7 linked regions of the Mus musculus genome follow. The protein of the gene in region 7 purifies or fractionates together with the protein of the main gene of each other region. This does not show direct contact. Links are inferred from orthologs where the notes say so. Each region holds a gene or a part of one and is shown on either strand. Other genes may lie near its edges. The genes, in order: Nop58, Sirt7, Larp7, Snu13, Tgs1, Rrp9 and Fbl.

Region 1 (3,500 bases), on a different chromosome or scaffold from region 7:
TATGTGTATGTATATGAGTAAGCATACATTTAACTTCTGTACTTACCTGTGGGCCAATCCAAGACACATGGCTGCCATCTCACGTGGTTCTACCCCAGGAATCAAGCCATCCATTTGTGATCGGATTCCTCTCATAAGTTCATTAACAACAGGACTATGGATACAGCTGAGATTCAATTTTTCCTATAAAAACATTCACATTAAATGAAAAATAAGTTTTCTTGAAAATTCACCGTTGTGGGTTTTCAGATATTGTCTTTTAAGAATTCACCAATGTAGCCAGGCAGAGGTGGCACACACCTTTGATCCCAGCACTTGGGAGGCAGAGGCAGGCGGATTTCTGAGTTTGAGTCCAGCCTGGTCAAACCCCGTCTTGAAAAACCAAAAAGAATTCACTAATGTGAATTCACAGGTTCAACTTAAACTCACAGGAACAATCTGCCTCAGTCTCCGGAAATGATAAGTGGAGCCTCCCTCAGCCCTGAAGCAGGCTGCTCCAGACTTTGACCTTGCTGCCAGTGAGAAGGAAATTACCTAAGGTGGAGCCTTCCGACCTAGATGGCTTCTTTTGTTCTGCCAGCTGCCACTGCTCTCTCCAAGACACTGCTACCTGCTGAGAAGCACCTGATACATTCCAGAGGAACATTCTATTCTGCGCATCACCTATAGGCTGGCTCCAGACACCAAGAATGGACTGGAGGGGATGGGCCTTCCCCTTTTATAAGCACACTCTCTTAGGAAACGGAGGGCCTTGAACTGAAACATGTCTCGGCTCCATTAACCTCTCGCAGTCTAAGTCTCTTTCAGCCCCAGCTTGCCTCCCTGGTGTACCTGGTCCTTGTAAGCCACAGGCCGGGATAGAACAGATAAGCATGATCTATCTCATTGGAATCTGGTATTTTAAAACAATATTGATCTCGGGTATAATATATATACTTTTCTCAACTGTACATAGTGTTTGCTTCTAGTATGTTTGTTAAGAAGTTGATGGAAATTAAATAGAGAAACCTTCCAATTACCCTTTTGGCTAGGCTGCATCCCAAGATGCAAAGCATTATTAAATCTGAGGAAGTTTTTTTCTTGCTTGTTGGACTAAGTGGACTACTGCTATTTTATTTGATTTCCAGACTTTTAAAATCTGCACATGTACCTATGTGATTTTTTTTTAAAGAAAAGATTTATTTTATATATATGAGTACACTGTCGTTATCTTCAGTCACCCCAGAAGAGGGCATCAGATTGCATTACAGATGGTTGTTGAGCTACCATGTAGTTTAGTGCGCTTAGCCACTGAGCCATCTCTCTAGCCCCAGCCAAAGGGAGTTTTTGTGCACTAGTTAAGTGCAGGTGCCTTTAAAGGCCAGACAGTATCAAATCCCCTGTAACTGAGTGATGGGTAGTAATGACCTGTGTAATGCTGGTAATGGGATCTGAAGCCCGGTGTATTAAGTGTACTAAGCACTTTTAACCACTCACCCATCATCACTCCAGCCATTTGTTTAGCTTTAAAATTACAAAGTATTGGGCTGGAGAGATGGCTCAGTTAAGAGTGCTGACTGCTATTCCAGAGGTCCTGAGTTCAATTCCCAGCAACCACACAGTGGCTCACAACCATCTGTAATGGGATCCGATGCCCTGTTCTGGTCTGTTTGAAGACAGCCACAGTGTATTTATAAATAAGATAAATAAATCTTAAAAATAATTAAGTAAATCTTTAAAAAAAATTACAAGGTACTCATATACTCACCGGATTTTAACCAAAAGTAACAGCAAAAAGTTTCTATCTTTTCCCTATGGATAAGTGCATCCCTCAAATAACCCTCCCAAAGAGTATTAATGAATAGTATAAACACAGATAACAAGTATCTTTTTGACCCTGGATTTTGTGGCACACAAATTCCATGTTGGAGAAAAAAATTTGTTTTAAAAAACAAAACTGTTTCAATCATAACACTTTCCCTGTCGCATATATTTGTTAATTCCCTCATATAGGCCAATATTTTATAATATCACAAGCAAGTAACTCTAGGCATGCACCACCACAGACCATTTAAGTCCCCTCTGTACTTTATGCCTGCTACTAAAGCTTCCAATCAACTCACTTCTTTACTCAACAGAAAAAAGTTTAAATTCTATGAGGATCATCACAAATGTGAACAGACGGCATGAGTGGCTGGCTTAGAGCTTATATTATCATTTTTGTCCATCTTTATTTTCTACAGTGTACAGGGAAAACGTGTTTTTGCAATTTCTAGTTGAGATTATGCTGCCTAACAGGAAAACATCAACTATGAGAACACATGACAAATACTACAAAGAGCAGGCTTAGCAGCTCTAAAAGGCCTGGAAGAATCATGCCTTGCCCTTTAAGCCACAGCCACAGCCTCAGCCTCAGCCCAACTTTACCTTTATTACCCCTCCTAGTTTAGCATCAGCGACAGCCAGAGGTTCATGGGCTTCTTTTACTATTTTCTTCAAAACTTTCTTCAGCTGTTTATTGATTTTGCCTTCCATCAGAGCTGTGAATGCTTTACAGAAAAACAGAAAATTTTAGAGTTACAACTGAGAACGCTTCTGATGTAAACTTTAAAGGAAAGAAAATATTTCTTTTAAAAGGTATATTTTTAAAAAAATAAAAATTATTTGTGTAAATGTTTTATAAAAAACCAACTCATGGCTAGGCATGGTGGCGCACACCTTTAATCCCAGCACTTGGGAGGCAGAGGCAGTTTCAGGCCAGCCTGGTCTACAGAGTGAGTTCCAGAACAGCCAGGATTACACAGAGAAACCCTGTCTCGAAAAACAAAATCAAAGAAACAAACAAAAAACAAAACCAACCCCCCCCAACCTCATAAATGCCAGGCATGATGATGCACAATGTTTATCCCAGCACTTGGGAGGCATGAAAAAGCAGGGCAACCTGAGTTAAAGCCAGCTGGGTATACAAAGTGAGATCCTACTCTGAAATAAATAAGTTTGTTAAGATTCAGCTTCTTGGGCTGGTGAGATGGCTCAGTGGGTAAGAGCACCCGACTGCTCTTCCAAAGGTCCGGAGTTCAAATCCCAGCAACCACATGGTGGCTCACAACCATCTCTAACAAGACCTGACGCCCTCTTCTGGAGTGTCTGAAGACAGCTACAGTGTACTTACATAGAATAAATAAATAAATAAATAAATAAATAAATAAAAAGATTCAGCTTCTTTTTATAGGGCAGTCTATAGCCTCAGCTGGCATCAAATTTGTGAGCCTGCCTTTAGCTTTCCAAGTGCTGGGATAAACATGTGCATCATCATTCCTGGCATTTATGAAAGGGTTTTATAGAACCCTGGCTATTTTCTTCTGCCTTCTAATACTGTATACACTGATTCCTAATATCTACCTTTTTGTAAAGAGACTTTCTTTATTCTTTTCTTTGGGCTGGGGATAAAGTGTCTGTTTAGCATGTGAAAGACCTTGGGCCTAATCCTTAGTACTACACACACACACACACAAAGCTCT
Region 2 (4,144 bases), on a different chromosome or scaffold from region 7:
CAAATCCTGGCGGCTCCCGCGACACACAGTACCGTCGCCCCGCCCTCGACGCTTGCGCGTGCTCACGCGGATCTCACCCGCTTGGCGCAGCCAATGGCGTGCGCCAACCAGGGCCCCGCCCCCAGCCGGGCCACACCCCCCTCCGCCCAGATCGAGCGGCCAATGGTCTGTGTTGCAGGTGCCCGGGCTTTGGCATTTGACTTCTCCACAGACGAACGGGGCAGGTTAGCACCACAACTGTGCGTGCAGCTCACCCCGTGCCTTAAGCATTCTTAGGAGCCGGGCAGTGGTGGCGACCCCTTTAATCCCAGCACTTGGGAGGCAGAGGCAGGAGGATCTCATGAGTTCCAGGACAGCCAGGGCTACACACGGAAACCCTGTTTCAAAAAAACCAACCAACCAAAAGCATTTTCAGGGGCTGGGTTCTTCAAAAGCGCCTCGATGCAGGCCCTCAGATGCAGGCACCTCGGTGGTGCGTGTGACAGTCATCGGGACACCAAAGCAATTGAGAGATGTTTAATAAGACTTGCTCAGACTGGAGGCTTAGTTAGATTCTCCCTGTGCCGCATACCCAATACAGAAAAAGGCTTCTATAAAGTGAACACTTGTACGTGATAAGGAGTAGAAAGAGGGAGGCCCTGAGACTAGCCTGGAGAGTGAGGTAAGGCAGTGGTGGACTCTCCTGCTGGCCAGGCCTGGGAAGGGCCGGAGCTCTTCTCACAGAGGCCTTGCTGCCACCTTTGTACAGGGGTGAACAGGAGGGAGGTGTCCTTGAAGATCAAGCCCATAGCGGGGCAGTCACAGCAGTGCAAGAGAGCCTTTCCACAAGGACAAATGGCTAAAGACGACCGTCACCGCGAAGCCGGCACCCACTAGAGCCGGAGGGGGCACTCTCGCCTTCACGGCGACACGGGCGGAGCCCCTGAACAAGGGTCAAGCCATCTGCAAAGTGCCAACTGTTCTTTGTCAACTCCGGGCTATGCCACTTTCTTCCTTTTTGCACGCTTGGCACAACCCCTGCCAAACCAGCCTCCTAGGATAGGGGGAGCTGAGGCAAGGGGGTCACTCTGGTCCCCAGGTGGGGCTTCTTCTCTGCTTCTGCATAGTGACTTCCTACTGTGGCTGCCTTCTTCACCAGCACGGAGGGGGGTCGCCAAGGAGAAGATTGGATCCTGCCACCTAACAGAAAGAAAAGCAGCATCAGGCAGGTCTGAAAACCCCTCGAATCGCAACCCTCCCAGGCACAGGAAAGCTGTCTGAGGCCACCTGCCATCCCACCTATGTCTTAATCTGGGCTTTGGCTGGAAGCAGCGTCAGTGACACCAAGCTGCAGGGGACACCAAGCTGCAGGGGAAAGTCTTCAGGGCAGCAGCAGCCCTCGCTCGACAGCCTCTTCTGTCTCACCCACTGTTGGTGGGAGCTGCACACATAGGAAGGGGTAGTGCTAGCCACAGGATGGCCTCACCTCCAAGGATAACTTGCTAGCAACTCTGGGCCCCGTCTCTCACTTGTATGGATAGGGGCAGATGGACCAGACCCTTTTCCCTTTCCCAGACTGCGTGACAGGGATGGGGGCGGGAAGAGGCCGGTTGACTGGGGAGGTGTGGCCTACAGACTACACCATGAAGAAATCATGTGTCTGATTGAAATGTAGAACCACATATTATAAACGTAAGATAAAAGTAAGCACTGATTAAAAAATGAGCTAAGTTAATGTTAAAAAAAAAAAAAACAACAACAACAACCAATAACAACATCAACAATGTGGCACAGGAGAGGCCCACGTCACAGAACACCACAAACATAACATACAAGAATTGCCAGGCCCAGAGGTGAAGGGATCCTTAATTTCTTGAACCCTTTGATTAAAAGAAGTTATTGATTTCCCCTATAAGACCCTGAAAATTCACAGAGAAAGAAAGTGTAAACTTTTCACTCAATATACACACCAAGTCTAAATTATCACAATTCTGTATCAAGGCAATTTGCTTCAGTTTTCCCCAAATATCCCCACACCAAGGACAGAGATTGTGTCTGACCAGAGCTGCAGTTCTCACCCCTCTCGGCTGTCCACCCAGGCTGCACACCATCTGTGGGAGCATCCTGTAGAGCACACTGGCAGATCCCCCTCAGAGATTCTGGGCACCGTACCAGTCAGGGGGGAAGAGTGTGCACGTGTGGTGGAGCCTTGCCTCAGCCAGTCCCTCTGAGGCCCACAGCAGACAGACACGGCCCATCACACGGAGGGGAGGGACGGGGCAGGAATGCAGGGGGCACGCTGCGCCCACTCACCGGTTGTAGACAGGAATCTCCAGGCCCAGTTCATTCATGAGGAGTTGCATGACATCATCACACTTCCCATGGAGTTTCAGGGCAGCCCAGTCATCCTTCGGGGTCCACTAAAGACAAGGAAGGCAGATGAGGGCCTCCCGGCAGACTGGCTCACCACTCCCCAGGAACACAATGGAACCTGTACAAGACTTTCAGGATCTCCCCGGCTCTTCCCATCTGAGCCCCGGGTCTGAGGAGGAAGCTCTAAGCACCCGCTGTTACCTGCAGGTTCACGATGTAGAGTTTGGGTCGACGGCTTGGAGGCTTCGTCATGCACCAGAGGCGGGGATATTTCTTTAGTACCTGTTCCAGCGGGCAGACACAACAGAGTAGAGGAGGATGAGTAAGACGCAAACCTACCACCCGCTCACGGCTGATGGCTCTGGGGAGGCAAGCCAGCAACATGCTCAATCCACAACGAGTTCATGGTATGGTCGGCACATACCTTCAAGCTGGACCCTAAACACAGGATTGTGTCTGCTTTGCTAGCAGCCTCGGTCGCTGCCTCCCAGTTCAGAGGCTGCCCTAATGTCCCCCTCTCCCCAAAGTGCACAATGGTATCCCGAAGCTGGGTCCCGCACTTGTGGCAGGTCCGGCCTGTCAGGTGTCGGTGAAGGGCAGTACGCTCAGTCACATCAAACACTCGTACATACTCTCTGTTAGGGATGCAGGAGGTGCAGACCTGGGACAGAGAGGGCACAGTGAGTGAGATCTGCCTGTCACCCAGGCCCCGGGTCCCCCTCGGTACTGCTCACTTCAATATACATATTCCCATGGAGCTCTGAGATGGCGGTCCGGGGCAACCCACTCCGCAGGTGGAGCCCATCACAGTTCTGAGACACCACGTGTTGCACCTGGAAGACAGAACGTGGTGGCAGTAAGTAAGGTGGCAGGAGGAAGCACCCTGCGGCAGTGGAGTTATTCTAAGCCCAGAGACAAGGGACAAGGTTCCTAAAACAAGGAGGCAACTCAGGAAAGCCCTGAGGTAGAAAGGCGCCATGTTCTTTCTCTTCTACTAACTCTAATGTACTGGGAGCAGCTAGGAGGGCAAGCATCTGTCCTGGTCCTGCAAGCTGAGCAGCAGTTTGGGGCACTGGTCACATAGGGTGGGCAGGACTACACACACCTTGGATCGATAACTTCTTGGGTCATCCATCATCTTTCATGTCCCTTCCCCCAAATCCCAGGCATATCTGCTTCCCCGCTTGCTCAGCGGATCTCTGGAAGTTTCTGTTGAGTCTCCTCTGAAGCTAGGCTGTCGTCTAAAGGCCCTGAATGGAACCTGAATACCACAGCTATTCTTCCTTTTTTTTTTTTTTTTCCGAGACAGGGTTTCTCTGTGTAGTCTTGGCTGCCCTGGAACTCACTTTGTAGACCAGGCTAGCCTCGATCTCAGAAATCCGCCTGCCTCTGCCTCCCGAGTGCTGGGATTAAAGGCGTGCGCCACCACGCCCGGCTACAGCTACTCTTCTTGAAGAGAAAGCAGAGCAGGGAGCACACAGATGTCCGAGCTACTAGACTATTTATCTATCACAGGGCTGACTAGGAGGCAGGATGGCTTCCCACCTGGGCACTGAGGTATAGCTCTGGGTTCTTTCCAGCTTTTTGTTTTTGTTTGTTCTTTTGTTTTGTTTTTCCAAGACAGAATTTCTCTGTGCAGCCATGGCTGTCCTGGAACTCACTCTTGACCAGGCTGTCCATGAACCCAGAGACTCCCCCTGCCTCTGCCTCCCAGGCACTGGGAGTGAAGGTGTGCGCCACCATGGCCGGCTTTCTTACCAGCTTTTGCTCATGCAAACGGGTGATGCTCATG
Region 3 (4,069 bases), on a different chromosome or scaffold from region 7:
GTTGCCTGTCTACCTATAGGGCTCCAGGACAGTCAGGACTAACTACATAGATAGACACTGTCTAAAAGGAAGAAATAAAAATGATAATTTAAAAATCTGTATGCTCAGTACTAACAACTTTTTTCTATTTCCCATCTATAACTGGCTGAATACAGATCCAGAAATTACAGGTACAGAGGGTTGACTATATACCCTAGTCAATATAGCACAACATCCTAGAGCCAAATATACAATATATAATTCCTCTGCAAGGAAAATTTTGTTCTTTCTTTTACCCAGTGCTAGGGGCTGACAAAAGGGACTATATGTAAACTAGGTAATAGTGCTTACATGCATCCAGTCCTTTATGTTTGTTTAAAATAGGATCTGACCATATTGCACAATCCCGTCCTAGCCTCTGGAAATAGCTGGGATATTACAAGCAATATGCCACCACACCCAGGAAGAAAAATCTCTTGGACAGTGCTGCAGCAGCCACTGTAACTACCATGTTAACTATAAGGTCAAATTTTGAAATCTTGAAATCGTCGATGGTGAACTGAATACAGATGCAAAAGCAGCACACATAAGCACACATATCTTCAAGTGGTTCCAGGGACATGACCTGACAATTAGTTAGCAATGAACATTTTAGGTCCTATTCTTTTAGGTCCTATTCTTGATCTATTACGTTAGGAAGTCCAGCTCTGGAGCCCAACAACAGTTTCTATCTGGCCCTCTGCAGTGATGAAAAACTGTCACAATAGCTCAGAACAGCACCGCTCAAACCAGGAAAGTTTCCAAACCACGAACGGCCTGCTAAACCACAAGGAACAGTACAGATCCCTAAAAGAAACATAGCTTCACTTGCCAAGCCTTGACACTTCAAGGTTTTGTATCACTAAATAATAATGGCCCCCTTGGTCCTATGTCAGCCCCTAAAACACCCACAACCGGGATGGGCCGCTATGGTGACCGCCTCACCCGGCACTCTAACGGCGCCTCGTGGGTCGCTTCCGTGGAGGCGAGTCAGTGTCCAGTGCTCTCCCAACCGCGCCAAGTCGCCCGGTCTGTCCACCCTTCTTGCCTAGAACACGGGAGAGAAAAGTCTCCACTTCACCGGCTCAATGACATAAACTCCACTTTCTAATTTCTCCCGCCAACTTAAGTGACGTCATCAAGCAGGGACGGTACCGCGGAGGCCCCGCCCGCCGCCGTTCGCAAACCACCAATGGAACTCCGCGTGCCAGCGCAGTCACCGCGTGGCTCCCGCCCCCGAGATGCTCCGCCTATGACGTCAGCAACGAACCCTGGGCCTCGGACCCGTCTTTCCGTAGCGGGCTGAGAGAAGCGCGTCGCTACTCGAATGACGCAAATTTCCGCCGACCGCAGGGGTCGGGAGAAGGAAAGCGTGGGAGAACACAAGCGCTGACCGTGGATCTGGGGACGAGCACGGAGTAAGTCACTACTGGCCTGCAGAGCCTCTCAGACCCGTAGAGGTGGGAACTCCTCTCAGTCGGGTCTCCTGAGGGCCACCCTCCATCCGCGGTCCGCCTCACCCCGCCCCCGTCGCCACTGTGCCGTTGGTTTGGCGCCGTGCGTTGTGCGCACGCGCAGTTCCCTGGCGGCCCCTGCTATTCGGAGCTCAGTACAGAGGGGGCGGGCCGAGCTTGGGGTTGGGGTGTTTGGGGCACGCCCGGCTGCGGGGGGGGGGGGGGGGGGGAGTCTGTGCGGAAGTAGGGTTGCTCAGAGGAACTGTGGGTGTTAGGCAGGTTGTCTTCCCAAAGGACATCAGTTGTGAGAACTTGCATTCTAAAGTTCAGTCTTTTCTTTTTGCTAGTCCCTCTATAGAAAAAGCCGTTGTAGAAGGGGCTAACAGTAATGAATTTAAGTTCTGAGTGCGTTTATGAGAAATTAAGGAGAAATATGAGTGGAGAGTTCATTGAGAATGGAAATCCTCAAGAAGTAAGACTGCCTTTTAGTAGTCTTTCGAAGCCGGGCGGTGGTGGGAAACCGAATGACTTCATAAAACATTCACACTAAAAGATTATTTGGAGCAAAGTTCCAGACCGCTAAAGGGTTTGCCGTGACTACAACTTTGGTTCTCAATCTTTTGGGTACTCTTCTTTTTGTTTAAAGCCTGGAAAATATTATTGTCGAGTTCCTTTGAAAATTTTACATGTACCTGTGGAAACATTTTGTATGTGATTTTACAAACAAAACCTTTGATTTAAAATTTAAAAAAAAAAAAATGGTCTTTTGCTTTACATCTAGCACAGCTTACTTCCAGATTATCTGTGACATTCACTGTCTTTGGGCAGTGTTGCAACTTTGTAACTTGTTGAAAACATAAAGATGAAAACCATGTTTGCCCAATCATTGCCCCTGACCAGTATATGTTAACATTCATTTTGACTTTATGCTGCATATTGATCTGGTCTTTTCTCCTTTAAACAGACTAGTTCCACTTAAATTTACCATATTCCTTTATATTTGTATAAGCATGATTTTACCTTTTGTTTAAAAGTTTGTCTTATAACATCTCATGGATTCCTAAGATGTCTTTAAACTCCCAGAAGTGTCAGGGAGGTCAGATGAAGAATTCCTGGGACAGCCCAGGCAGTGGTGACGCACACCTTTAATCCCAGCATTTGGGAGTTGGCAAAGGCAGGTGGATTTCTGAGTTCGAGACCAGCCCGATCTACAGAGTAAATTCCAGAACAGCCAGGCTATACAGAGAAACCCTGTCTTGAAACCACCACCCACCACCCCCCAAAAAAGAAATTCCTGGGTCAGAATATAGTGTGAATGCTGACAGAGTGTAGCTTCTACTAAACGGTAGACAGTGTAAGAGTCAAACACCTCGGTTTGCTTACCTACCTAGTTTTGACTGAATTACATAACCTTTCAGCCTCCCTTTGAAAAGGGGAAAGAAACGACCAAGTAGGATTGTCAAGATTTAAAACTATCTATCTATATAAATATCTGGCATTGCTTCACAGTAATTTCTTTGTTCCAAGACTGTGAGTTTTGTGGGTGGATGTTGTTTGTTTGTTTGTTTGTTTGATTGTTTGGAGGCAGGATTTTTTATGTAGCTCTGGCTGTCCAGAAATTCTGCAGAGCAGGCCAGCCTCAAACTCAGAGATCCACCTGCCTCTACCTCCCAAGTACTGGTATTAAAGTTGTGTATCACCACATTCATTTAGCAGTATATTTATGACACTACAAAAAAAAAGAAAAAAGAAAAACTTATCAGAATCACTAATGTTTCAAGTTTAGAAATAACCTTCACAGACTAGAAAGATAGCTCAGCCATGAAAAGCTAGGCTCACTCCCAAAAATATAAAATATAACCATCATAAACCATATGAGTATTATGGACAGGTGACACAAACTTCTGTAAAGGATAGGTGACTTCTAGTGCAATTATAAACTCATATTCTAATAGCAGATGGAGAAAACATTAAATGGGGGTAAGAGCCATTTCAAAGATGAAATTGATAGGATTTAGTGAAAGATTGGTAAAAATAACATGGCATCATGTTTTCCATGGCAGCTTTTCCCCCTTTGGGTTTTGGTTTTGTTTTGTTTTTTTTTGTTTGTTTGTTTGTTTTGTTTTTTGGGGTTTTTTTTTTGTTTTTTTGGGGGGGGGGGTAGGGGCAAGACAGGGTTTCTCTGTATAGCCCTGGCTATCCTGGAACTCAGTTTGTAGACCAGGCTGGCCTCGAACTCAGAAATCCACCTGCCTCTGCTTCCTGAGTGCTGGGATTAAAGGCATGCTCCACCACACCTGGCTGGTTTTTGTTTTTAAGATTTATTTTGTTTATGAGTACAGTGTAGCTGTCTTCAGACATACCAGAAGAGGGCATCAGATCCCATTACAGATGGTTGTGAGCCAGCATGCAGTTGCTGGGAATTGAACTCAGGACCTGTGGAAGAGCAGTCAGTGCTCTTAACTGATGAGCCATCTCTCCAGCCTGCGAGTCTTTTTTTAAACTTATGTAATATACATGTGTATGTATGAATGTATGTGTGTATACCGGAATATACGTGTGTGTGTGTGTGTGTGTGTGTGTGTGTGTGTGTGTGT
Region 4 (4,035 bases), on a different chromosome or scaffold from region 7:
AAAAATCTAAAAAGCAAACAAAGGGTGTGTATGTTTTGACTCAGTGAGATTAGATTGTAAGAAAAGTTTCCCTATTATTATTAGCTACTGAATTTAACATTTGTTTCAAAAAATGAATGAAATAATGGCGTGCAACTGCACAGACAAACACTGGTGGGGTGGGATGGTACACCAGTGTACACCAGTGTAGTCCTAGCACTGGGGAGGAGGATCTATGCAAGTGTGAGGCCAGGCAGGAACACAATGAACCTGTCTCAAAATACGGTAAAAGAAAACTACTGGGGCTGGTGAGATGGCTCAGTGGGTAAGAGCACCCGACTGCTCTTCAGAAGGTCAGGAGTTCAAATCCCAGCAACCACATGGTGGCTCACAACCATCCGTAAAGAGATCTGACTCCCTCTTCTGGAGTGTCTGAGGACAGCTACAGTGTACTTACATATAATAAATAAATAAATAAATAAATAAATAAATAAAAAAGAAAACTACTGAATTATACTGGAAACAAAAGCCCTTTATGGCACCCAGAATGGAACATTTAAATTCTATTTTTATTTATGTATTAATGTACTGGGTTCAAATTTTCATGGTGTCTTCTAAGCCTTACTTATTCCATTTCTTTGGCTTTATCACTGGTTTTCACTATTTTCTCCCTCTACTGGTTTGAATTGACTTACTTCTCTATTCTTTTTTCCTCTACAGAAATTTGCTAGGTTGCCTGGGCTGGCTCTGAATTCCTGTGCTCGATCAAATAATTACTTTCAAGTAATCTGACCTGCAAATGCACGCCTAGCTTTACCTCTAAGGTCTCAAATGTTAAAAAGCAATTCAAGCTGGGCAGTGGTGACGAACGCCTTTAATCCCAGCACTCCGGAGGCAGAGGCAGGTGGATTTCTGAGTTTGAGGCCAGCCTGGTCTACAGAGTTCCAGGACAGCCAGGGCTACACAAAGAAATCCTGTCTGGGGGTGGGGAAGCAATTCAACAGACTACTGGATTAGTTTTGTAAATTTTTTTCTGGGATGTCAGAAATTGAATTCAAGGCCTTGATCATGCTAAACAAGCAATGACCTTTTGGAGACAAGGCTGGCTAAAAAGCCCAGGCTAGCAAACTTAAATCCCTAGGCTTAATCAATTTGGTCCCCGCATCTACCTGACAGTGAAACATACAAGATTTTTGATTTGACAAATAGTGCCTAAAAATGACTCTGTCAACAAGGGCATGTTTAACCTAAAATTCCAACAGAGCTGAAAAGAAGCCAGTGATACTAGCAGCCTTAAGTTCTAGCTAAACACCTTATTAATGTTGTAAACTCATCAACTGTAGGATAGTTGTAATCGGTGGTACATCGAATTATGTAGTGTTTGATGTTACTGCTCTGTTACTAGTCTATATTTCCTGGTTTTGTGTATTAGAGAAACGTTACTGCAAGCAGTACATCTGCTATGGCAGCAGCCTCCTGGTCTAATCAGGAGGATCCAAGAATGATGACTGACCAGCCTTGGTGTAGTGGCACACACCTGTAAGCCCAGCATTCTGGAGGCCGGCCAAGGCAGGGAGATCTCATGTCCAAAGCCAGAACTCGCCCGTCCTTAAGCGATGCATGTTTGTACTCCGCCTGCTACAAGCGACCCGTTGTCCCCACTTCCCAGCCTAGACAAACTGCTGCAGAGTTCACCAAGAGCACCGCACTTCAAAACTCTTCCCTGGTTCAACACTGGCTCAGCCACTCTCTCTCTCTCAAACTCTAGACTCGGTCAGTAGTTGCTAAACCTCAGGGGTGGGAGCACGAAAACAAAGCCGACCACCCAAGGGCTGGATGAAATCGCACCAGGCCTGAAAGGGCTCAGCCAAACGGAGCCCTGTACACCATCACAAAGTGGAGACGCTCAAACGCTATCATCCCACGTGGGGCTACCAGGACCACGGATTTCTGAAGGCGTCGGTCGCTCTCATGGTGGGAGCCTTTCCTGAGCTTCCTTCACATTCCATGTGACCCCAAATTTAAAAAAGGAGGCGAGGGTGGGGTGGTGGTGGTTACCTAGTCCGGAGGGCGCGATGGTACGCGCCTTTAATCCCAGCACTGGTGAGGCAGATCTCTTGAGAGCTCAAGGCCAGCTTAGTTTACAGAGTTCCAAGGCCAACCAGGGCTCCATGAGCCCCTAAAAACAAACTAAACCAAAAAGCGCCCCCGAATTCCCTAAGTCTTAGTTCCCGACAGACCCTGGCTGCGGACCCCACGGCGATCCCCTTCCTCAACCCCGGGAGTGGAGAAGACGTGGGTAGTGAGTGCCTCGCATCCCGGGATTTCACCTCATCCCCCAGTGTTTAAAAAGAAAAGAGAAAGAAAACGAGAAGGAGAACAGACGGGCTTCCACACGCGTTCACCATCCCACGTGGGGCGCTCATTTTCCCACGCTGCGCCATGCCTGTCCCCTCGCCGCGGCCTCTGGGCACGCCCACGGCTGCAAAGCCCACCGGGCCGCAGCGACCTGGGACCTCAGCTGCCCGGGATCTCCACTCCGCCGCCCCAGGAACGACCTCGCGGGCCGCCGGAGTTCCAGCCCCGGGCCTGGAGGTCGGCCATCTCGGGGCGGGCGACATGTCGCACGCGCTCCACCTCCCCCAAGACGCAGCGAACAGGGCCCGCGGCCCGCGCTCCCCGTGCTTGCGGCCCGCCGCGCTCACTCACCATGGCTGCGGTGCGCCGGTCTCGCCGCGACTCGACGACAGCCCAACTCAAGAGGGACTGAAACGCCGCGCAGGAAAAAGGAGCGGAAATCACTTCAGAAGCGGCAGGAAGCGGAAGTGACGCCACAGAGCGCGCGCAATGACGGCGTCCCGCCCCCTTCCCGGAAGAAGAGAGTGCTGAAGTCATCTTTGGATGTGGGAGATGCGTTTTTTCAGATTTTATTAGCGTTCTAGTTAGGATCGGCAAAAGATTGTGAATAAACCACTCGGGAAGTGGCACACTAGTACAACGGGTTGTGAGGGTTGCCATTTCATAACCAGGCTTTTTTTTTTTTTTCGAGACAGGGTTTCTCTGTGCAGCCCTGGCTGTCCTGGAACTCGCTTTGTAGACCAGGCTGCCCTCGAACTCAGAAATCCACCTGCCTCTGCCTCCCAAGTGCAGGGATTAAAGGCATGCGCCACCACGCCAGGCTTTTTTTTTTTTTTTTTTTTTTTTTTTTTTTCTGAGTACATAGTGTACCCTTTTCAAAACCATCCTCTCAGGCGGAGGTTGATTTCTACAATTAGCTGGAATAATGCAGTGGTTGTGAGTCTCTTGGGGAGTGTGTGTCAAAAGACCCTTTCCCAGGGGCCGCCGAAGACCATCGGAAGACACGATTCATAACAGTAGCAAGATTACAGTTATGAAGTAGCAACGAAAGTAATTTTATGGTTGGGGGTCACCACAACATGAACTGTATTAAAGAGCTGCAGCAATGGGTAGGTCAAGAGCCATTGGACTAGGGGGCTAGTTAGTGAATGACAGGGAGGTTGTGTTTGGAGTAATTATGTAGGACACCTGCTTCCTTCTTCTGAGCATCTTGCCCCTTTCTTAGTGATGCACCAAAACTTCGTTATGAAAGGATAAACTCAAGTCTAGCGCTCCCTCCCATGAGCTCTTCCGTGATCCTCGTGGCTTCTCAGTCTTTTCCAACATGATGCCAAACACATCTTGGGGCTATTTGGATCTAGCCCAGACCCCACCATTAGAGCCAATTTCAGCTCATTGTGTCACAACTGTAGAGCTGAGAACTGGGAGGACCTTTAAGAGCCTTACAAAATAGTTCCTCATTTTTACAGATGAGAACAAAGTGTAAAGAAGGGAAGCCTGCCCACTGTCAGGAATCAAACAGTGGCAAAGCTAAAACCGGACCTTGAGATTTTTAGCATTGGGGGTCAGGCAACCACATGGATTCAAACTGCCAACAGGAGGGAACATTTCTAGAGACTGGCGAGATGCCTCCCTGGTTCAGCACACTGGCTGCTCTTCTATAGGATATGGGTTCAATTCCCAACACCCACATGGCAA
Region 5 (3,500 bases), on a different chromosome or scaffold from region 7:
CCCATTTTAGGAATTTTTCTACCTGAAATTTTAAGATACCATAACAAACACAAATTAACTATAAAGAAAATAGAATTTTCTCACCTTTTACCATTTGTGACTTGATTAACAAGCTATCAAAATTATTAGCATGAAGTACAATGTATCAAACAAGCTACAATTATGGGCTATCTGGAATTTAGGGGAGCAACCTATGATCTTATTAAGAATTCTTTTAAAAGAAGTTACATGGCATCAACAGAATGCCAATTGTCTTTAAAATAAAATCAGAAGGTGCAGGAAAGATACATGAGAGCTGCAGAGACAGCTCAGCAGACAGAACCTGGGTTCTGTACCCAGCACTTACATGGCACCTCACAACTGTTCTGTCCCAGGAGATCTGATGTCTTGTAGACTACACAGGTATCAGGCATACACACATACACAACAAACACATAAGTAAATCTAAAAACAAAACACAACCCAAATTAGAGCTCTCTCAGAAAGAATAAGTAAGAATAGCAGAGCTGGTAGATCTAAGTCTTTAGATGCTAAGATATAATAGCAGCCCAAGTTTGGATGAGTTACTTCTTTGCACTTGCTGTACAATGAATCTTCTCTGTCAGATCTTTATGATCTTGAGAATAACTTTCAGAGAAAGGCAGAGAAATGATAAAACCTCACACTGAGGAGAAAGTGCCACCTATCTGTACCCAAGAGAACTAAGGTCATAGCGGCCACTATATACAGATGTTTCTATATTCCTTTGTAGGTGAAACGTATGGAAATTATTACTCTGAAAACATTCCAAAGTCTTGAGAGACTGACACTAGGCAGTCTACTTCAGATATAAAAAAGGTCACTAAAATAGTCATTAAACTATAACTAGCCTTGACCAGTCTGAAACACTGAAACACACACACACACACACACACACACACACACACACACACACACACTGAAAAATAAACTACTAATTTGTAGCATGCTTTGCTAGAATGCTGCAGTCAGAAGCAAGTGAAGATACAATAAAGTCAGACGCCGGAGATTGTGCCTCCTGCCTTTAAGGGAGCTGGTGGCAACACCAACGATAAGAAGGCTCTGATCATCAGAAATGCCCCATCCCCAGTAGAAGGATAACTCACCCAATCACATGATGTTCTAATTCACTTATTTTCTATTTCCTTATAGCAAAGACTAAGAGGGATCAGGTTACAGTGTGACTCTATAAAGTAGGCTTGTATTTTACATTCTGGGTCAAGCCTATTACTTCAAAGTATGATCAGTCTTTGGATGAGCTCAGAATCCAGGCTTCCAGTTAAAACCACAGCAGAATCTGTACTGGGATCCTACTTTGTGTAAAACAGGTAAGAAAATTGCCCCTGTCCTTCTATGTACTACACGGGCAAATCAATCTAACTGACTTATCTTCTTAGATGCCCAAACATTTTAGTTTTCAAACACCCCTTTTTTTCATATTACCTCAACTTCTTTCCCTATTCCTCAAATCCAGTTTTCATAATATATAACTTTGTAAAGCTAGTGGTAATTTATTTGCTGTATCCTTCAATCTTGCAGGGTGGAACTTTTCATTTGAACACAACTTTAAAGAGCCAAGCTATAAACCATAATTGTGTCTCAACTGAAGGCCTTACTCCTTACTTTACCTACTCTGTACTTTACTCTTACACACCTTACTCCGTACTTACACACCTTACTCCGTACTTTAAACTCTTGCACACCTTACTCTGTACTTACACACCTTACTCCGTACTTTACTCTTACACACGACAAAAGGTTTCCCTGAGTCCTCGGTGAACAGGATGTGCTTGCTCTTCACAGGCATCTGCTTGCGCAGATCCAGGTACTTTGATTTGTATTTCACATTCTTCTCTAGATACCTGACCTGTCGATGGCTGAAATTTGGAATTCCACCATATCTAAATCAGACCAAAAGAGATGATTCACCTGTTAAAAAATTTCTCGTATAGGGGAAAAAAATATCAAAAAACTCCCAAACTAACATCCCTCCCCCCAAATCCTCAAATAACTTTTTACTACTACTTGTTAGTTATTGCTATCACTTAATCCTAATAAATTTTGAAAATGATAAAATCACATGCTACCTGCAGAAAAGGTTATGGTTTAGTCTTTATGACAATTTAAAAGCAAATGTGAAGGCAAATCTGAGTCTGTGGACAGCCTGGTCTACAGAGAGAATTCTAGGACAGCTAGAGCTATACAAGGAAACCCTATCTCAAAAAAATAAAATAAAAAATAAACAAACAAACAAAAAAACCCAAACAAAACAAACCAAATAAGCAAAAAACCCCAAACCCCAAATACTCCTCCCGTAAAAGCCAAAAAACCCCAAACACCACCACCTCCCTGGCCCCTAAAAAAACCCCAAAACCAAATGTGAAACACCGATGATAAGTCTAACAAGGTTACTTTTTCCTGTTTGAGATAGATTTATACCATATAGCCCAGGTTTGCCTGAAATTCTTCATTCTCCTGTCTCAGATTCTTGAATGCTAGCATTCCAAGTGTGGCATCACAACAAAAATACATTGCTAATGTAGATTAGAAAGTAGAAATTATGTAGCAGACTGCCATAAAGAGGGCTAGCAAAAACTAAACAAAAGCATACTTCCTTGTTGGGGTAATTTTTCTCAGCGTGATGACAAAGCCTTACACACATCAGCCCATCAAATTAATGCTAAGAATGGTTACTGAATGCCTATAGAGTAAATCTGATCTAACTGAGTTTCTATCTGCCAGAAAGTTTCCAGGCTCCTCCCAAATGTCCTCTTTGACTCATGTTACCCTAAGTTAAATTCTAAACAATGAAATATCTCCATGAGTGTATACTACCAAGAGCCAAATAACAGTTTACATAAAATCAGTGCTTCTAATAATGTGAACAGGCTTTATATATACTATTAAATTCTATCCTTTTTAGTTTAAAGTGACTATACAAACTACTCCTGACTTCAAGCCCTCAGGCAGGTGACTTGAAGCCATTATAGGATTATAAGCATGTACTTTTGAATTAGTTTGGAGTCAATTTACACATTAATCATGAGGCATTTCTCACTTTCTTTTCCTACTAAATTCATGATACACAGCTTATTTAAATTTCCTAAGATACGGTCACTAAGACATTAAGTCTGAACCCTTAGAAACATAAAACCTCAAAGAATGGGATTAACTGACCTAAATAGCACACACTGAGGCTGTTTTATCCACTCAGTTCAGTCTTCCTGTCCTGAGATGTAAGTTACTCTTACATAAATATCTACTCATTCATATTTCTTTTTAACCTTTGGGCATTCAATCCCAGAGAATACTTAGGTTTCTACAGACAAATGTTCACAGCAGCTTTACATATAACAGCAAAATACAGAAAAAAATCCAAAGGCCATTTAAAAGGCAAATGGTTAAATGATTTTTGTTATTTCTGTATCTCCATAAAATGTGCTGGCTACCCCATCAAAGAGGAGGAAAGAACAAATGGGACG
Region 6 (2,804 bases), on a different chromosome or scaffold from region 7:
CCCCTCATCCACTGCTGCACCCCACAACAGGAGAGAATTCCCAATCTGTAAAAGCAGGCAGTATTCCTTTGACACATCTTCCCAGCAGGGTCCTTGCTAGCTAGCTCTGTCAGACTGAAACTCTCTTCCCCGATTCTGACCTTGTCCCACCGCGGGGCAGGGTATCCCTTCCAGCTTCCTGGGCTGGGACAGTAGGGAAATGTGGTCAGCCTGAACTGTAGGCTCCACTAGCTTCCATTGGTCCTCAGACCCCGGCTTGAGCCTTCCCAAGGAATGGAGAGCTGTAGTTTCTTGGCTGATGGGTGAGCAGCTGTCTAATGAGGTCATGCAAGAGCCGGCTGAGGTTCCCACCCAGTGCTCTGAAAACAAAAGCCTTCAGCTGAGAGCAGCTAGCTAGAGTCCTGTCCCTCCCAGGTCTCTGCCACCTCCTGGTCCTTGCCACACACCTACCCCCTCCCCTCACCCTCCCAGAAACCAGAGGAACAAGGGAGAACAAGGTCTAAAATAGGAGGCTTTAATACAAAAGAGGACAGGGGCGGGGCCTGGAAGTCACTTAAATAAGGGAGAGTGTCAGGAGCCGGCAACAGGGGACACAGGGAGCCTGCGGAGTGGGATGATGCAGACTGAGTTCCGGGCCTCTTTGATCCTCCACCACCGGCCAAGCCTGCAGAGAATGAATGACCACTGAGGCAGACGCACGCCACCCCTCTCCTACTCCCAACCGGCCAGTGCTACCTTGCCCTCGGCCCCACCCCCATCACATACCTGTGCTCCTGTCCCACGCCTGCCACCAAGAAGTCCCCAGCACTGGAGAACTTGAGGCTGTTGATAAAACCAACCTGAGAGAGAGGGACATGGTAAGACATCAGAACATTCGTCACCACGGCTCCCAACAGCAGGCAGGGGCCTGGTGCACTGGTTAGGTGTGCCAACCCTTTCCCATGAGCCCCAGCCTCCTCTCTGAAACTGTAGGAGTGGAGCCGCAGCCAAGCAGGGAGATGGTAAGGACTGAGGAGACAGTGCCCATCAAGTGTGCCAAGAGCTGCCTCAGGCACTGGAGTGTGTGACATATCATAACATAACCCCACAGGTCACTCCAGTGTGGACAGTCAACTCCACACAGCCCAGCCTGGTTCTCAAGTCAATACCCACTACAGAGAACCAAGCCCAGTGCAGGCCTCCACCCTCTACCCACTCACACTCAGCTTGTACACAGAGCCAGGACAGGGTGGAGGGAGTAGGGGTTGGGGAACAGAGGAGAAAAGTGGGACAGGCTCTGTGACAGTAAGTGGCCTTGCCCTGAATAGACGTCTCTGGGTGAGAAAAGCAGAAATTGCTCATTCCATGGGCCTCCAGAGTCTTGCAAAGACAGGGTTATGCATTTAGGACCACTTACCAGGGGGATGTCACAGAGAGGGTCAAGCTGCCGGAAGCCCTCTCCACACTGCCAAAGTCGCACACGGGCATTATGGGAGCCTTGGAGGTCAGAGAGTCAGTAAGCAAGCCCCATACCAGCTCACCCACAGTCCCCCTCCCCACCTCACCGAGCACCCACCCACCTGTGGCCACCAGGTCTGTATTGAGCAGGGCGGCTACGGATGACACCCAGAAGGGTTGCTCCAGGCCTGGCTCCCCGTGAAGCCCATGAGCTTCGCGCTGGAGGGCGAGTGGCCGTTTCTTGGAGAGGCCCCACAAGGCCACAGAGCTGTGGGTGAAAAAGATAGTCTGAGGGGCCAGAGCCAGACAAAGGCATACAGCAGGGAGGACCAATCACATAGACCAGCTGAGGGATGTGGCCACTGATCCAAAATGAGCTAAGTCCAGGGCCTGGCAGGCAGGAAGCACTGGTGGCGGCAGCAGTCGGACATATCAGAAAGGGACTCTTACCCATCATCTGCGCCCGACACCATGTGCTCCTCGTTGATGAGATGGATACAGTCAATGGAACCCCTAGAAAGAGAGGCTGTGAGGGGGCAACGTCCAGCCCCCTCGCCAGCCCACAGAGCCCCACCACAGCCCAGCAAACCGCCTTACTGGTGGCCATAGAAGACAAGCTGGGACTCCTCGGGGATCTTCCACACACGCACGGTCCCATCCCGGCCCCCAGCTGTCACACAGCACTCTCGGCTCAGGGCATCCAATGCAGCCACAGCATCCTGGTGCCCGAACCTGGAGGGGAAGAGCAAAGCAGGGAGGGAGGGTCACATGTGACCTCTCGCTGACACGCGGGCCTGTGCTATCTGCCTGGGCACACTCACAGCGTCTCCACGTAGGAGTTCTCGGCTGCATTCCACACCTTCACAGAGCGGTCGTGGGAAGTGCTGTAGAGCTGGTGGGTACCTTTTCGGAAGGCTAGTCCCTGGAGAGAACAGAGAGGGGTCAAAGGGTATGGACTACGGAGGGTAGACCCAGAGGGGCTCTCCTGAAAGTGAGTCACATGACCCAGGAACCTGTTCCCCCAGAGCCAGGAACATGCTTGCCTGTCCTCAAACAGCTACATACCCCTCAGGCCCTCTGTGGTTCCAGCTGAACCTGGTCTCCCTCCATCGCTCCCCATCTCTTCAACGCACTCGCGGCCTTTACACACACACCACTCACTACCCACAGGCCTCTGTAGATGAGCCTGGGGCCTGGCGCCTGGCCCCAGGAGGGCACACCCAGCAGGCTTCCATGCTAGGCAGGTGGTCAATACCCAGAGCCTCACCGACACAGCGTCCCGGTGTCCCGTGAAGGTGTACAGGTGCTGGCAGCTCTGGGCCTCCCAAATGAGAATGAGCTTGCTGCGGTCGCCAGAGGCCTGTGGG
Region 7 (3,500 bases):
AACTGTTTGGTATTTACATTCCTACCTCTGGGTTACTTTAACACTGACTACACTCTCTGGCTCACAACGAAAATCAGGAACCCAGGAGTGGTATTGAAAGAAAAGCTCTGCTTCAAGCTGTCCCTGCCACAGAATGAGGGATGAGTCTGGCTCCATCGACATCACACAGTGCAGGGAAATGGCCAGGCCCAGCTCCCTCATTTCCACCACTTGTCCACTCACCGGGCCGACAATATCAGAGACGTGGGAGACGGTGGTGCCTGAGGCTGCCCCAAGGTAGAGCACCTTGGCTCCTGGCTTGATGTGGATCTGGTCTACGCCGCCCAGGATAGCTGCTGCCAGCTTGGAGCGGAAGGGGTTCCAGGCTCTGTACTCAATTTTGTCATCTCCTTCCTGAGCCAAGAGAGATGGGGACAGAATCAGTGCTGGGTTCTTGTGCAGGACACCATTCCTGGTAACCCTAGGACCCTCAAAAGAAACTGTGCAGTCAAATCACTAAGTAAGAACCAAATGCAGATGTATAGCAGAGACCAGGACTGAAGCTGCCCTGCTCTCTCATGAAGGCTGCTGACTTGGGGAGGGAACAACAGAAAGTAAATACAGAAGTGAAAGATGGAACTGGGCACTAGGCACACACAAGTGCTGGAACAACAGTGAACGGGACACATATCCTGCCCTGAGAGAGAAGTACTCACTGAACTAAGTACAAACCGACACAGGAGATGGTGACAGGCTATAGAGACCACACAAGGAGAGAGGACATGAAACCAGAACAGGGCAAGGAGAATGTGAAAAAGAGAACACGGACCAGGAGGGTGGTGGACACGTTTGAACCAGATATGGAGGTGGAGAGGGAGCCACCCACACCACCCTGGGAAGAACACTCAAGGCACAGTGTGGGAGGTGAGTAAGGAGGCTGACGTCTGGCCACAGAGACAAGGACATGGGAGAGGTAGGGCTGTGGCAGTGAGGACCGCTTAGACAAGTGGGCGATGTCACAGAGCCTCATCAGAAGGAACAGGCAGTACCTGACCAGAGGCAGGTTACAAGGACAGTTTAGTATGGAGCTGGGAACTGGGACAGCTCTGAGGCTACAGCCTGACTTATACATCAAGACATCCATAACAGCAAGAAGACTGGCAACGCTATCAGTTGGGACTTGGACTCACTGAAATAGAGACTCTCTTCTCTCCATACACAGACTCTCCAGGGACCAGATTCTTTGTGACAAGGGCATCCTCCTTTCCGCGACAGATAAAGACACCTGGTGAAGGGAGGAGAGCAGAGTGTGGCTGGGGACAGTGCAGCCATGGCCCACCTCTGGCTTCAGCCAATTCCCTGCCTGCCTCACTCACCTTCATGACGATGCGGCTCCACCATCACATTCTTCCCTGACTGGTTTCCTCTCTTGCCTCCCCGGCCACCACCTCGACCCCGGTTGCCCCCAGACTGGAAGCCCCCACCTGTAAGAGAGAGCTGCAGTAGGAGAGGGAGGCCCCCACATCTTCCCTCCCTTCATCCTTCGAGAACCTGCTCCAACCCCCATGTCAACCTCACTTACCTCGGCCACCGCCACCTCCTCGTCCCCTGAAGCCACCACCCCCTCCGCCTCGACCTCGACCTCCACCGCCAAAGCCTCCTCGTCCACCGCCAAAGCCTCCTCGGCCTCCTCTTCCACCTCCTCTACCGCCTCTGTCACCAAAGCCGCCTCTGCCACCAAAGCCACCCCCACGGGGGCTGAAACCTGTAGCAGAAATGGAAATGGGGATCAGGGCAAAGGAGCTTAAGAAGGACCCTTACCTGTCAGGTCCACAAATGTGAGAAATCAGCAAGGCACAGGCTCTGTGCTCAGGGAAATGTCCTCCACACCCAGAACCCACCCGATGTCCACCACAGAATGGACACATAAAGGAGGCGCAGCAATCAACAATGGAAGTGACCCTCAGTTCTACAACACAGACGGATAAACGGGAACCTCCCAGAAGTGAAGAAACGAATCCCAGAAAACTAAACCCAACCAGAGTTTTCTTGAAAAATGGTATCAAGTACCCTAAGCTGGCAATGAAGTCACCACATGGATCCCGGTTCTCCTGCCGCACTCGCCAAGTACTGTGTTTACAGGCCCAGCACTACAGCCTTATGAGGTACATCAGCGCAGGGCCGCTGAAGGCAGAACACGCCACAGAGCTTTTAATTAGGGGTGAGGTAGAATGCAGATATTCTAGTTTTCTTGGGACAGCGCCACACAACTCATTTTATCCCTTGTGTTAGTGAGCCCCGCACACGCATATGCCCTCACAGCATCTTCCAGACCTCTGGATAAAAGTGCCCCCGAGTCTGATGCTTGAGCTCTGCTCAAGACTGCAATACTCCTCCCCGCACAGGGGGGAAATTAAGGAAACCCCCAAACTGTCCTCTTAAGGATGGGCACTAGTCTAGATGGGCAGGCTAGAGCACACCAGTACGTCAGCTTGGCCTTAACCCCAGGTGTAGCAGACCATGCCTGGGACTCCGGTACTCTACAAGGTGGAGGCAGGAGACCCCAGTGGGGCTCATGATGAGACCTTGCTTCAAAAAAAGAATGGTGGGGCTGGGGGTGCAGCTCAGTAGAAGAGTGCTCAAGGGCTTGCCCCTTACCCCCAGCTACAGGAAAGCAAGCACTGTCCACAGAGCAGTGAGTGGGACTGGACCCAATGCTGTTACCTTAGCTTTTTCATGATGGTTCCCAAAAACTTTTTGGTATTATTGGAGGTGGGACACAAGAGTTTTCCTGAGGGCTGGAGAGGTGGCTCAGTGGTTAAGAGCACTAACTGCTCTTCCAGAGGTCCTGAGTTCAATTCCAGCATGCCGCATGGTGGCTCACAACCATCTGTAATGGTGATGCCCTCTTCTGGTGCATCTGAAGACAGCTACAGTGTGTATGTATGTATGTGTGTGTGTATATATATATTTATATTTATTTAAAAGTTTATCTGATAACACAGCTTGAAGATTAGGGGTGGTTCAAAATGATCTCACTGGATGTAAACTGTCAGGTAAAAACCTGCTCAAATTTTTGTCTCAGTCCTGTAACTATACCCCATCGACAGCATCAAACATTTTTTTGTTTTGTTTTGTTTTTAAAACGTTTATTGCCAGGCCAGCCATGGTGGCACATGCCTTTAATCCCAGCACTTGGGAGGGAGAGGCAGGCGAATGTTTGAGTTCAAGGCCAGACTGGTCTACAGAGTAAGTTCCAGGACATCCAGAGCTACAAAGAGAAACCCTGTCTCAAAAAACAAACAAACCCTTTATTGCCACCTTTTAAAAACTTTGTGAACATTAGTGTTTTGCCTGCACATTTATCTGTATGTGGGTGTCAGATCCCCTGGGGCAGGAGTTACAGACAGTTGTGAGCTGCTATGCGGGAATTGAAGCCGGGTCCTCTGAAAGAGCAGCCAGTGCTCTTCACTTTCAGCCTCCTTTAGCTGTGTTCAGAGTCCAGGTCTCACTACCTATCC

What was found.
Region 1: the proteins of Fbl (region 7) and Nop58 purify together in Homo sapiens (affinity purification with mass spectrometry; 7 studies listed by BioGRID and IntAct, counting the BioPlex papers as one, with this or other methods). This does not show direct contact. The link is inferred for Mus musculus from reciprocal best matches to the Homo sapiens genes FBL and NOP58.
Region 2: the proteins of Fbl (region 7) and Sirt7 purify together in Homo sapiens (affinity purification with mass spectrometry; 3 studies listed by BioGRID, with this or other methods). This does not show direct contact. The link is inferred for Mus musculus from reciprocal best matches to the Homo sapiens genes FBL and SIRT7.
Region 3: the proteins of Fbl (region 7) and Larp7 purify together in Homo sapiens (affinity purification with mass spectrometry; 3 studies listed by BioGRID and IntAct, counting the BioPlex papers as one, with this or other methods). This does not show direct contact. The link is inferred for Mus musculus from reciprocal best matches to the Homo sapiens genes FBL and LARP7.
Region 4: the proteins of Fbl (region 7) and Snu13 purify together in Homo sapiens (affinity purification with mass spectrometry; 5 studies listed by BioGRID and IntAct, with this or other methods). This does not show direct contact. The link is inferred for Mus musculus from reciprocal best matches to the Homo sapiens genes FBL and SNU13.
Region 5: the proteins of Fbl (region 7) and Tgs1 purify together in Homo sapiens (affinity purification with mass spectrometry; 3 studies listed by BioGRID and IntAct, counting the BioPlex papers as one, with this or other methods). This does not show direct contact. The link is inferred for Mus musculus from reciprocal best matches to the Homo sapiens genes FBL and TGS1.
Region 6: the proteins of Fbl (region 7) and Rrp9 purify together in Homo sapiens (affinity purification with mass spectrometry; 3 studies listed by BioGRID and IntAct, counting the BioPlex papers as one, with this or other methods). This does not show direct contact. The link is inferred for Mus musculus from reciprocal best matches to the Homo sapiens genes FBL and RRP9.

What each region holds. Positions count from the first base shown.
Region 1 is NC_000067.6:59,695,006-59,698,505, reverse strand, and holds part of Nop58 (nucleolar protein 58), read right to left. Parts: intron 2,529-3,500; coding exon 2,407-2,528; intron 184-2,406; coding exon 47-183; intron 1-46. UniProt on the Homo sapiens protein: Required for the biogenesis of box C/D snoRNAs such as U3, U8 and U14 snoRNAs. Part of the small subunit (SSU) processome, first precursor of the small eukaryotic ribosomal subunit.
Region 2 is NC_000077.6:120,617,871-120,622,014, forward strand, and holds the end of Sirt7 (NAD-dependent protein deacetylase sirtuin-7), read right to left. Parts: coding exon 4,111-4,144; intron 3,186-4,110; coding exon 3,087-3,185; intron 3,014-3,086; coding exon 2,777-3,013; intron 2,635-2,776; coding exon 2,554-2,634; intron 2,400-2,553; coding exon 2,293-2,399; intron 1,899-2,292; exon of another isoform or gene 1,421-1,898; coding exon of another isoform or gene 1,279-1,420; intron 1,180-1,278; coding exon 978-1,179; 3' UTR 501-977; downstream 1-500. UniProt on the Homo sapiens protein: NAD-dependent protein-lysine deacylase that can act both as a deacetylase or deacylase (desuccinylase, depropionylase, deglutarylase and dedecanoylase), depending on the context. Specifically mediates deacetylation of histone H3 at 'Lys-18' (H3K18Ac).
Region 3 is NC_000069.6:127,550,550-127,554,618, reverse strand, and holds the start of Larp7 (la-related protein 7), read left to right. Parts: upstream 1-1,269; 5' UTR 1,270-1,436; intron 1,437-4,069. UniProt on the Homo sapiens protein: RNA-binding protein that specifically binds distinct small nuclear RNA (snRNAs) and regulates their processing and function.
Region 4 is NC_000081.6:82,044,799-82,048,833, forward strand, and holds the start of Snu13 (NHP2-like protein 1), read right to left. Parts: upstream 2,801-4,035; 5' UTR 2,692-2,800; coding exon 2,689-2,691; intron 1-2,688.
Region 5 is NC_000070.6:3,591,879-3,595,378, reverse strand, and holds part of Tgs1 (trimethylguanosine synthase), read right to left. Parts: intron 1,920-3,500; coding exon 1,742-1,919; intron 23-1,741; coding exon 1-22. UniProt on the Homo sapiens protein: Catalyzes the 2 serial methylation steps for the conversion of the 7-monomethylguanosine (m(7)G) caps of snRNAs and snoRNAs to a 2,2,7-trimethylguanosine (m(2,2,7)G) cap structure.
Region 6 is NC_000075.6:106,483,112-106,485,915, reverse strand, and holds the end of Rrp9 (U3 small nucleolar RNA-interacting protein 2), read right to left. Parts: intron 2,798-2,804; coding exon 2,705-2,797; intron 2,360-2,704; coding exon 2,259-2,359; intron 2,170-2,258; coding exon 2,035-2,169; intron 1,951-2,034; coding exon 1,888-1,950; intron 1,706-1,887; coding exon 1,560-1,705; intron 1,477-1,559; coding exon 1,397-1,476; intron 840-1,396; coding exon 766-839; intron 665-765; coding exon 571-664; 3' UTR 501-570; downstream 1-500. UniProt on the Homo sapiens protein: Component of a nucleolar small nuclear ribonucleoprotein particle (snoRNP) thought to participate in the processing and modification of pre-ribosomal RNA (pre-rRNA).
Region 7 is NC_000073.6:28,172,748-28,176,247, reverse strand, and holds part of Fbl (rRNA 2'-O-methyltransferase fibrillarin), read right to left. Parts: intron 1,745-3,500; coding exon 1,562-1,744; intron 1,464-1,561; coding exon 1,356-1,463; intron 1,265-1,355; coding exon 1,170-1,264; intron 394-1,169; coding exon 223-393; intron 1-222.